Yarrowia lipolytica: one gene and its partners. The protein of the gene in region 2 purifies or fractionates together with the protein of the main gene of each other region. This does not show direct contact. Links are inferred from orthologs where the notes say so. Each region holds a gene or a part of one and is shown on either strand. Other genes may lie near its edges.

Evidence for each region.
Region 1: the proteins of YALI1_D16656g (region 2) and YALI1_D30922g purify together in Saccharomyces cerevisiae (affinity purification with western blotting; 4 studies listed by BioGRID, with this or other methods). This does not show direct contact. The link is inferred for Yarrowia lipolytica from reciprocal best matches to the Saccharomyces cerevisiae genes UTP14 and IMP4.
Region 3: the proteins of YALI1_D16656g (region 2) and YALI1_F11781g purify together in Saccharomyces cerevisiae (affinity purification with mass spectrometry, with the first as the bait; 3 studies listed by BioGRID). This does not show direct contact. The link is inferred for Yarrowia lipolytica from reciprocal best matches to the Saccharomyces cerevisiae genes UTP14 and NOP14.

What each region holds. Positions count from the first base shown.
Region 1 is NC_090773.1:3,090,752-3,092,984, forward strand, and holds YALI1_D30922g (uncharacterized protein), read right to left. Parts: upstream 1,450-2,233; coding exon 598-1,449; downstream 1-597. UniProt on the Saccharomyces cerevisiae protein: Required for the early cleavages at sites A0, A1 and A2 during 18S ribosomal pre-RNA processing.
Region 2 is NC_090773.1:1,662,787-1,666,542, forward strand, and holds the start of YALI1_D16656g (uncharacterized protein), read right to left. Parts: upstream 2,874-3,756; coding exon 1-2,873. Other genes in the region: YALI1_D16672g (uncharacterized protein), read right to left, coding at 3,405-3,756. UniProt on the Saccharomyces cerevisiae protein: Involved in nucleolar processing of pre-18S ribosomal RNA.
Region 3 is NC_090775.1:1,175,678-1,179,433, forward strand, and holds the start of YALI1_F11781g (uncharacterized protein), read right to left. Parts: upstream 2,469-3,756; coding exon 1-2,468. Other genes in the region: YALI1_F11787g (uncharacterized protein), read left to right, coding at 3,058-3,115, 3,350-3,756. UniProt on the Saccharomyces cerevisiae protein: Involved in nucleolar processing of pre-18S ribosomal RNA. Has a role in the nuclear export of 40S pre-ribosomal subunit to the cytoplasm.

The DNA of each region.
Region 1 (2,233 bases), about 1.4 Mb from region 2:
TAACACCTTTCGAGAACAGGTTAGAAGTGAAATCTCAGGGGTGGAGGAAACGCACGACTACAGTACAGTACAGTACACAACGGATAATGGTCCAGGCGTATTATGGAACATACCATTGGAACGAGCAGAGTTTTGCGATCAGTCTGACACCAATTCTGGGCTTGTTAGAGCATTTGGACGATGCTGAGGTTCAGACGAAAAACACCTCCGAACCTCGTCCCAACATTCAAGAACATCAAAACCCCACTCTTCTGAAAACTCTTCTGGAAACTGTACGTGGAGCTTTACTTCTACACTCTGTCACTATTAATATGCTCATAAATACTATATCCTTTCTATCAGTGTGTATGAACACACAGTATTGTGTTGAAGCCAGCCGGTGGACAGTCTGATGTCGAGTCAGCGTGAGAAAGGTGGTTCAGATAAAACCGACTCATTTTTTGACATTTTATCAAACTCCCTGTATTTCTGTAACTGCTTTCCAAAAGCTGTCATAACCGCACAAGTGCTGACAAGATATTACTTCCTCCAGCGATCAATAAGTCGTCCAGTAGGCCTTCATCGGCTCTTGTCCACTCAGACCTTCAGTCTTGCCACTTAAAGGTAATCCTTCTTATTGGCAGTTCGCATAAATCCATGCATTCTCCACTCGACATCGGCATCCTTGTTCTCCAGAGTGCCCAGTCTCAGGTCATAGAGTCTCATTTCAAACCGCGGTCCGACCTCAGCAAGCTCAACACCCTCCCGGGTTTTGACGTAGACATGCTGCCGGACACTGATAAAGTCGCCTCGGTTGGCAAATGTGATGACTCGAGCTGAGTCCTTCTTCACTCCGGGAGGAAACAGATGCTTCAAAATCTGCACAACTCGCTTACCCAGGTCGGTGGTGAAGTTGTCAAAGATGAGATGAGGGTGCACCTCGCTCATGTTGCCGGTATCGGGCAGATCGTGTCGAAGAACCACGTTATGAAGCGAAAAGTAGGCGGTGGGGCCATGGGGGAAATGGGACACCGTCATGGCAGTAGGCACACCTCGATGCTCGTGCAAAACAATGAGATCCGATGAAGCAGACGTCTTGCAAGCCGAAACCAGCGACGGCAACACGGTTCCTCCTCGGTTGAGCCGGATAGAAGTGGGGAACAGCAATTTCACCTCCTTGGCAAACTGAGACAGACGGGTCGACGGGTCTCGAGAAGTCGTCACCACCACCTTGGGATCGGTGATGCCACTCATGGCGCTATATTCGTCGTCAATCTCATCCTGCACAGACTCGTCGTACGCAATGGTCTTTCGAAGCTCTTCGTCGTCAGCCACGTCTTTGGGCAACGGCTTACCGGAGGCCAGCGCCGCCTTCAACTGCTGCCGCTTCTGGATCTTGGTCGCCTCCTGCAGCTGGAGCGACTTTCGGTAGAGATACTCTCGCCGTTCTCGGGCCTGTCTTCTGATCATGCTGGGCTTGTGGCGGTGATGTAAAGGTTGTGGGAAGACTGACAAAAAAAAAGATCTGTATGCATAATTCTTTTCCACGAAAAAGCTTAATCTGAAAACTTATTTCGATGGCCACAGGGATATCATGTGGCCAATAAAAAGCTATATGTGACACTTTAAGAAGTGAAAGGTCCCGGATAAAGATGTAAAATTCACCATTGTATCATTCTCCGCTTTCTCCGGTCAAATTATGAACAGTTTGGACCCATTTATTGCCATTTGTTGTGTTCAACTAACTGTTGGGAGTGCTTGTGAGATGTCTTCACTGTAGACCAAATGGCCTTCAATGTCAGGATATGCTGGCGAATGGTGGAAGCACCTCAAAAAGAATATATGTAAACTGGTGATTTTCCGGTCGATAGTTTCCTCTGATACTCCTCTACTTCTACAGAAACTTGCTTTCGAGAATTGTTGTGGCCCCGTCCAACACAATGACAATCGTTGTAATCCTTCCACCCAGTGACAATCAATGTAATTTTTCCATGGAAAACGAATTATACGGAGACAGTGATGATCAGAAAGACCTATCGGATTTGGGAGCTCCCAGGAATCAAAAAAGAGTACTACGAAAGTATTGTATAATTGACAGAATATTTCGCCAGGCTCCGGGTCTGACTTTTCCCGAACGGCTCAGATCCAACAGTTTGAACATGCTCTAGAATGCTGGATAAAAGAAGGGATTGTCACTTGAAGTGGAGAGACAGACTAAACATTCTATTTATCTTCTTTTCAATAATTCCGCTTC
Region 2 (3,756 bases):
GGCTTGACAATGACTCGGGGCTTGATGAGCTTCTGGTGGGTAGTCTCCGTGGTCCACTGCTGGCCCATGGGCATCTTGAGGTAGGCCTCGTACTGCTCGACAGACTCGAAGGGATAGGGGACCGACTTGACCTGGTACTTGTCCGACTTTTTGTCCGACTTTTCCGAAATGATCACGTTCTTGAGATCTCGATCCTGACGCTTCTCGACGGCCACACCCTGGATCTTCTTGACAAACCGCTTCTTGGGCGCCTTCATGCCCTCTCCTCCCCAGCCTCCCCACCCGGGCAGGGTCATGTCGATTTCCTGATCTCCTTCGTCGGCGATTCGCTGTCTCTTTTCGGCCATGAACTCTTCCTCGACGATATCGTCTCCTGCAAAGGCCCGCTTGATCATATCCTGCTTGAAAGAGATACCCTTGTCAGTGTCGGCCTCTCGATCCTGAGTCACGAGATCAAGAGTATCGGAAGTGTCAATGAGAATGTTATCTTGCTTGCGGGCCTTTTTGCTCTTCGCACTCTCCACCACCCGGCTCTGATGCTTGGCCACCTTGTGGGCCAGCCGGTCTCGTGCAGAAGCCTCAGCCTCCATCACAGGCTTGACCTTGTTGCTCTTGTGGATGTTGGTTTCGGTGAACCAGGGGTTGGAGGCGTCGTCATCTGAATCAGAATCGTCGTCCTGTGCACCTCCTTCCTTCTTTTTGTCGCTCTTGACCACAGTAGTCACGTTGTCGTTATCTCTGTCGTCATTATCATCCTCATCATCATCAGACTGAAGATCAGCCTTTCGCTCAGAGTCAATCTTGACAGCAAGCACATCGGCAATAGACCGTTTGGTTCCGGGCGCGTACTTTCGTCGACCCTGGTTGAGAATCTCGTTGGCAGTGTCAACTCGACCTTCGTCCTCGTCGTCACTCTGCCCAAGTTCCCAGTTGGCCTTGGCTCGATCGAGCTCCTGGATTCGCTGCTGGTTCTCCGTCTTCTGACGAGCCTCAGCCTCTCGCATGAACTTCATGCCAAGCAGACCCTTGCCCAGATTAGCTCCCTCAGCAGGCTCATCAGGATCAACCAGAGCGTCTCTGTTCTGGGACAGAAACTGGTCGTCGCCCAGATTAGAGTCAATCTGCTCGTCGCCATCGTTGTCGTCCCGAGCAGACATCTTCTTTCGCAGACTTTCACCTCGTCGAAGCATCTCCTCCATCTCTCCTCGAGTCTCGGCATCCTTGGTCAGACCCTGCGATACCATTCGCTTGGCCCACTTGCCCTGGTTCTTGTGCTTGAGCGACATTCGCTCCTGAGCTCGCTTGATGTCGTGGTCCTCCTGGTCACTCTCCTCGTCGGACATCATGGCGTCTCGGAGCCGTTCTCGCTCTCGCTTGTGGATCTTTCGGTACGTTTTGGACTTGATCTTCTTGATTCGCCGCGCCTTTTGCTCCTCTCGGAACATTAGCTCTCGCATTCGTCGAAGCTCGTTTCGTCGGGCAGCTAGCTCCTCCATAGACATGTTTTTGGTGGCCAGCTCCTCAAACTTTTGTGCCTGCGACTCGTCGGCAAGAGCAGAAGTCTTGAGGATACCGGCAATCTTCTTCTCCATAGCACTCTCGGGGGCCAGCGCAGAAATACCGGTGTTGGGCAGCTGCTTGGCCTCCTCATCAGAGTCGTAGACGGGAAGACGGGGGAAAACCAGATGCTCAGCATCCTCGTCCTGGGCAATCAGGTCGTCGAACTTGGTCAGCTCCTCTCGCGTCAGATCAAGAGCTGCCTTACGTTCCACCTTGTCCTGGAGACGTTTACTGAGAGGCACAGCCACATGTTGGGGCTTGTTTTTGGACTTGCCGTCGGGCTTGCCAAGAAGAGACAGACTAGCAGCTGCCTTCTTGTCCACACCTGAAGTCAGGTCCGAAAGAGACAGCTTGCCATCATTGTTCTTTTTCGACACTGTCACGCCAAACTCATTTTCCTCTTGGTTGTTGTTCTCGTATCGTCGTCGTTTCTCGTACTCAGCATCCTCGTCGTTCTCGTACATGTTGGAAATGAGAGATCGAAGCTTGTCGGCCTTCTCCTCATCAAACTCGGTATCGATATCGGAAAAGACAGATCCGTCCGAGTCCTCCTCATCAGAGTCGTCGTCACCGTCATCAGAATCGTCGTCGTTATCAGAGTCGATCTCCTCTCCGTCAGAAACGTCCTCGGAATCCGCATCCTGTTCCTGCTCAGATCCTCCCTCCTCAGACTCATCATCTCCATGTGACTCGTCATCCTCCTCCTCCTGAAGATTGAAAGAAGTGGTAGCCTTGGTCTTTGAGCTCTTCTTTGCATCCTCCTTTTGGGCAGCCTTCTCACCGCTCTTCTTCTTGAGGTTCTCCTGCTGACGATCGTCCAGATCCCAGGCCTCGGAAAGATCCACAAACTCCTCCTCGTCCACAGAGTCGTACTCGTCCTCCATGGCCTTGAACTTGGCCTTGGCCTTGGACTTGACGCCGAAAGAGTCCAGAATCTCCTCGTCGCCGTCGTCAGAGCCAAACGCCTCGTCAGAGTCGATTTCCGAGTCGTCTTCCTCCTCCTCCTCATCGCCAGGCTGATACACCTTTCTAGTTCCGTCCTTGTTGAACCGAACAATACCGTCATCGTAAACATCGTCAATGTCGTGATCCTCGGAGTCGTCGGAGTACTCCTCCCCGTTCTTACGGGCCTTCTTTCGCTCCTCAGCCTCGGCGATTTCAAAGGCGTTCAACAGAGCATGCTTGCCTCGAGACTTGGGTACGGGCTTGGAGGGCTCGGTTTCGTTTTTGTACGACGTGGCTCGCTTGGACGAAAACACCTTGCCGGCGGTCGTGGTTCGCCCGGACCGGCTGCTTTTGCTTCGTTTTCCCATACTGTGTGGTTCTGAAAATGGATGGCAGAGATATATCGCTCCGTGCGTCTTACAATATTTTTTTAGACTTTGGCAAAACTTTATGCACGGTTTTTCTACACCAGTGGTGACTGGCGGGACTGGTACTACTTGTAGTAGAAGAGGACACACACTTTTAGTAGACAAGGCGGAGATTTTTTGAGATATTGATGAATGCTCAGAAGCCACCTTTTACAGACCATAAACTCGTTTACATGATAAGAATTGCCTATGGGAAGAAAAGGAGGGTGATAGTACTGTTGTTGCAAGGCTGGGCACTACACGCACACGATTCAATACGAAGTGGAGACAAGCCCCTTGGTGGCGATATACTTACTCAAAAGAAATGCCACATGATATTGTTTTGCTGCTACAGACATTTCTTTTCTTCCCGTGCCATCGGTTTTGGCGTTTCTGAACTCTGGATCGTTCCTCAAACAGTTGGTGATCCCAGACTACCCTCCTTCTGCGCCATGTTCATCTTAGCATATAAGTCTATCAAAACTATCCTATTTACTCCTCGTAAACAATTTCCTTTTCCCAAGAATCGTCATACTCCTCCTTCTTGTCCTCCTCAATCTCCAGATCGGAGGGCAGCTTGGCGTACATCTCCTGAATGTGCTGCACCACCTCTGGGTCGCAAGAAGCCTCGCCAAATTGCTTGGTTTGCTTCTCGTACAGCTTGGAGGCTCGCTGGAAGGCAGAAGCTGCGGCTACAGCGTGTGTAAGGTCCTCCTTGTCCTGCTCCCAGGCCGTGAAAGAGGCCAGGCCAGCCAGATAGAAACCCTCAATCTCCTCATCATTGAGATCGTGGATTCGAACCGACGCCTCCAGAGCCTGCTCAAGCATGCCCATCTCAATGAGC
Region 3 (3,756 bases), on a different chromosome or scaffold from region 2:
CTCTCGTAGGCGTTCTTTTCGGCTCCCTCCTCGGTCTGCACAGATCGCACCAGTCGAGCCATCTTTTCGTGGTAGGCGTCGTCCTTCTCTCGTCGTTCTCGGATCTTTTCTCGGGCCTCGAAGGCGGCGTCCTTTCGGATCTCCCGCAGCGCGCTCTTCTTCTCCTTCTTGAGCTCGGCTCGAAGTTTCTGGGTCTCCTGTAGCGCCATATCCGGGTTGTACGACTTTTTGTCCACGTTGAAGTTTTCCTCGAACTTGGGGGCCATGGTCTTGATGGCCAGGGGTCGGTGCTTGTGTAGAGTGAGAGGCTTTCGGTCAGCCAACTTGAACTTGGTGATTCGGCTATACTTGTCTGCAAGCTCGGGAATGTTCTCGCAGAACTCGAAAGTCTCAGGGAAGGCTGAAATGTCCTTGTATGTGTCCATGAGCTTGGAGACGGAAAACACGGCCTGGTTATGGAGCTCCTGAGATAGCGTGGCCACCTCCTTCTTGCTCAGAATGGATCGGTTGGCTGATCTCATTGAGATGGTCTTATCGGTAGACTTGTGGGAAGCCTTACCAGGAGTGAAACCCTTGATAGGAGCAATCTTGAAAAGAGAAGCCATGGGAAGAGAAGTCTCAGTGCCTTCCAGAGCAGCAATCAGACGGCCCAGGAAGACGGCAATCTCGGGAATGAACCGCTTGGCAATTCGCTGGTACTGGATCAACAGCTGGGCGGTGTACAGCCCGGCAATGCACTTGGGAATGGAGTCAAAGGTGGACAGAGACAGGAAACGGGTCATAACGAGCACCGCAGGCGTCACAACCAGGTGGAAATGATCGGACGTGGAGAAAATCATGCCAATCAAAGTCCACAGCATGAGATGACCGGCCGTAACTGTAGTGTCGGCCTGATGAGCCTCCAACTTCTTTCTGATGTGAGCAGCCATAGTAGGACTGTGAGTTTCCGCCAAAGTGTGCACTTTAGCGACGACTTCAGACAAACACTCAAAGTCGTCCTCCTCCTCTTCGTCGGCGAGGTACATGAGATGGTCGATGAGCACGCATGCAAACTTGGCTAGACGCTCTTTGTTGCCCTCCTTGAGCGAGGCGTGATGCAAAACGTTGATCCGGTCGATGATGGTGGGCAGCTGGTCCAGAGGGTAGGCCGATGTGGTCTCCAAGAACATCTTGTGTGATTTGGGGATGGGAAATGTGTATGCTAGAGTGGAGGAGGAAGACTTTGAGGCTGGCTCGGACTTTGTAGTCTCCTCCTCGCCAGATTCATCACCAGATTTATCGCCAGACTCATCTTCGTCTTCATCTACTTCATGAATCTCAACATCTTCATCATCATCATCTTCGGCCTCGTCTTCATCATCCTCACCCTCCTCCTCGGAATTCTCAAAGTCAAACGCCACATTGCCGTCCAGATCATCGCCTTCGCCCTGGTCAATGGCAACCTCGCCTCGCATTCGGGCCTGTCGCTCATCCTCCAGCTTCTTGAGCTTTTCAGCCTCCTCTTTGGCCAGCTCCTCGTCAGTCTTAGTTCTGTCCTGAGGCTTGGCTCGACGGTCCAGAATCATGTTTCGGAAGTTCTGGTCGTACTCCTTCTCCTTCTGGTCCAGAGCTGTCACCACCTTCTTGGCCTTGATAGATCCCAGCTCCCGGATCAGAGCATTCATGGTGTCCTCGTCGTTCATTTCCTCGATAATCGCCTGGTCCTTGTCACGAGCTGCCTGTCGCTCGGCCTTGTGGAACTTGGACTTGGCAATGATCTCCTTCATGACCTCCTCCTTGCTCTTCTTTCGGCCAGTGCCCGCCTCCTCCATATCAACTCCGTCCATCTCCTCCAGATTGACTCCCATAGCACCCATACCCCGCTCCTCTGCTAGCTTGCGTCGGTTGGCAAGAATGGCTGCCATCTCCTCGTCCTCCTCGGCCTCAATACCCAGATCGCCCTGATCAAAATCGTCCTTGAAATCAAGAGCCTGACCAGAGTGAGTCAGCATCATATCAGCGTCGGCGTCGTCATCGTCATCGTCAAGAGCGAAAATCGACTTGTTTCGACCACCACCCATCGACCGAAGCTGTCGCTCCCGCGTAAACCGCTCCAGCATTTTCTCCTCGGGATTCATGTTGGAGTCACCCTCTCCAAACCGCCGGTCAAACACTCCTCCAACCCGTCCCTTGTTTTGCAACTCCAGCTTTCGAGCCTCCATACGGGCTTCCTCGCCACTGAGCTTGGACAGTCCAGGTCGTCCCACACTGCCCCGTACGGTTCGGCCTCCAATATCATGCTTCTTCCTGGCCACCTTGACATCGAAAGGGTTGAACTGCTGCCGGATGTCAGACAGCACCTTGTCTCTGTCCTGGCGGTTTTTGCCGCTGTTCATCTTCTTTTTATTGCCCTTGACATTAGTCTGGCCCGTCAGATCGTTCTTCTTGAGCGTCTCCTTGAGCCGCTTGAGCTGACTCGTTTTGGCCATCGTTCACGGTGTTGTGGATTGTGGGTTGAAATCTGAGATGCTGACTTTGAAAATATCTTGAATAAGCTCGGGAAATATTTTAACCTTGCAGCTCATAACCTGTCTGAAAAATTTCGTGGAAAACATTTATCTGGACAATTTGGCCAGCTGAACACAACGGAGACTCCCCCCTTTGCCTACCACAGCTGTATCCTCCGCAAAACTCCACCCCAAGTCTCCCGGAATAAACTTCACGGGTTGGGGTAGCTAGCTACTCTAAAAAAGGTGAATGCTTGTTCCCCTCAAAATCCCAAAACCTGAAGGGAAGAGACAGGACAGACGCCCCAGACAAGTAAATGTGTGGGTAAATAGCACCAAAAAAGGCCACCCGCCAACACGGGACCATCCCAATGGCCGGGGGTCGCCCGCAAAAATGCGGTCACGTGACCGCAGCGGCCTCCTCGTTGCACCTGCTCTTGAGTGGTTACCCTCGGTTCGTCCCAACTGGGTAGGGCTTGATGCCGAACTGTATATCTGAGCACGCGGATGACAAAAAACTTGCACTGGATATACACTGTCGCTTTTGCTAGAACCAAAAACACCACACAAAATGCCTGTTGATCCCGCTAAGCTCGCAGCTCTCCAGAAGAAGTCCGGTGCCCAGTCCGGTGAGTATCTCTGAATTGGCGGCGTTGGATTTGTCCGAAACCGCTGCGTGGAAAAATGGACGGAAAAAATGGATACAAACGAGATCGAACTCATAAACGATCACATGGAAGGATGCGGGGTGGCCTTGATCGAGTTGGGATGACAATGATTGATCATCCTGTGAGCCATTCGCCCGTCAATACCCGTGTCCGGGTACGATCGCAACGTTTCTCAACGTACACGTACTAACCCAGGTGGAAAGGGTACTCCCCGACGACCCGGCAAGAAGGTTGCTGGCCGAAACATCTCTGAGGACGAGAAGAAGCTGTCCGCCACCCTCAAGAAGTTCAACGCCCAGGAGATCACCGGTATCTCTGAGGTCAACATGTTCAAGGAGGACGGCACCGTGCTGCACTTCCCCAAGGTCCACGTTGAGGGCTCCGTCGCCTCCAACACCTTTGCTATCTCTGGTCCTTCCCAGCAGAAGGACATTGCTGAGCTGATCCCTGATATCCTCCCCCAGATGGGCCAGGATGCTCTTCTGCAGCTGCAGCAGGCCGCCGTTCAGTTCTCCAAGCTCCAGGAGCAGGCAAAGAAGACTGCCGGCGGCCCTGACGCCGCCAAGGAGGCCGGTGACGACGAGATCCCCAACCTCGTTGAG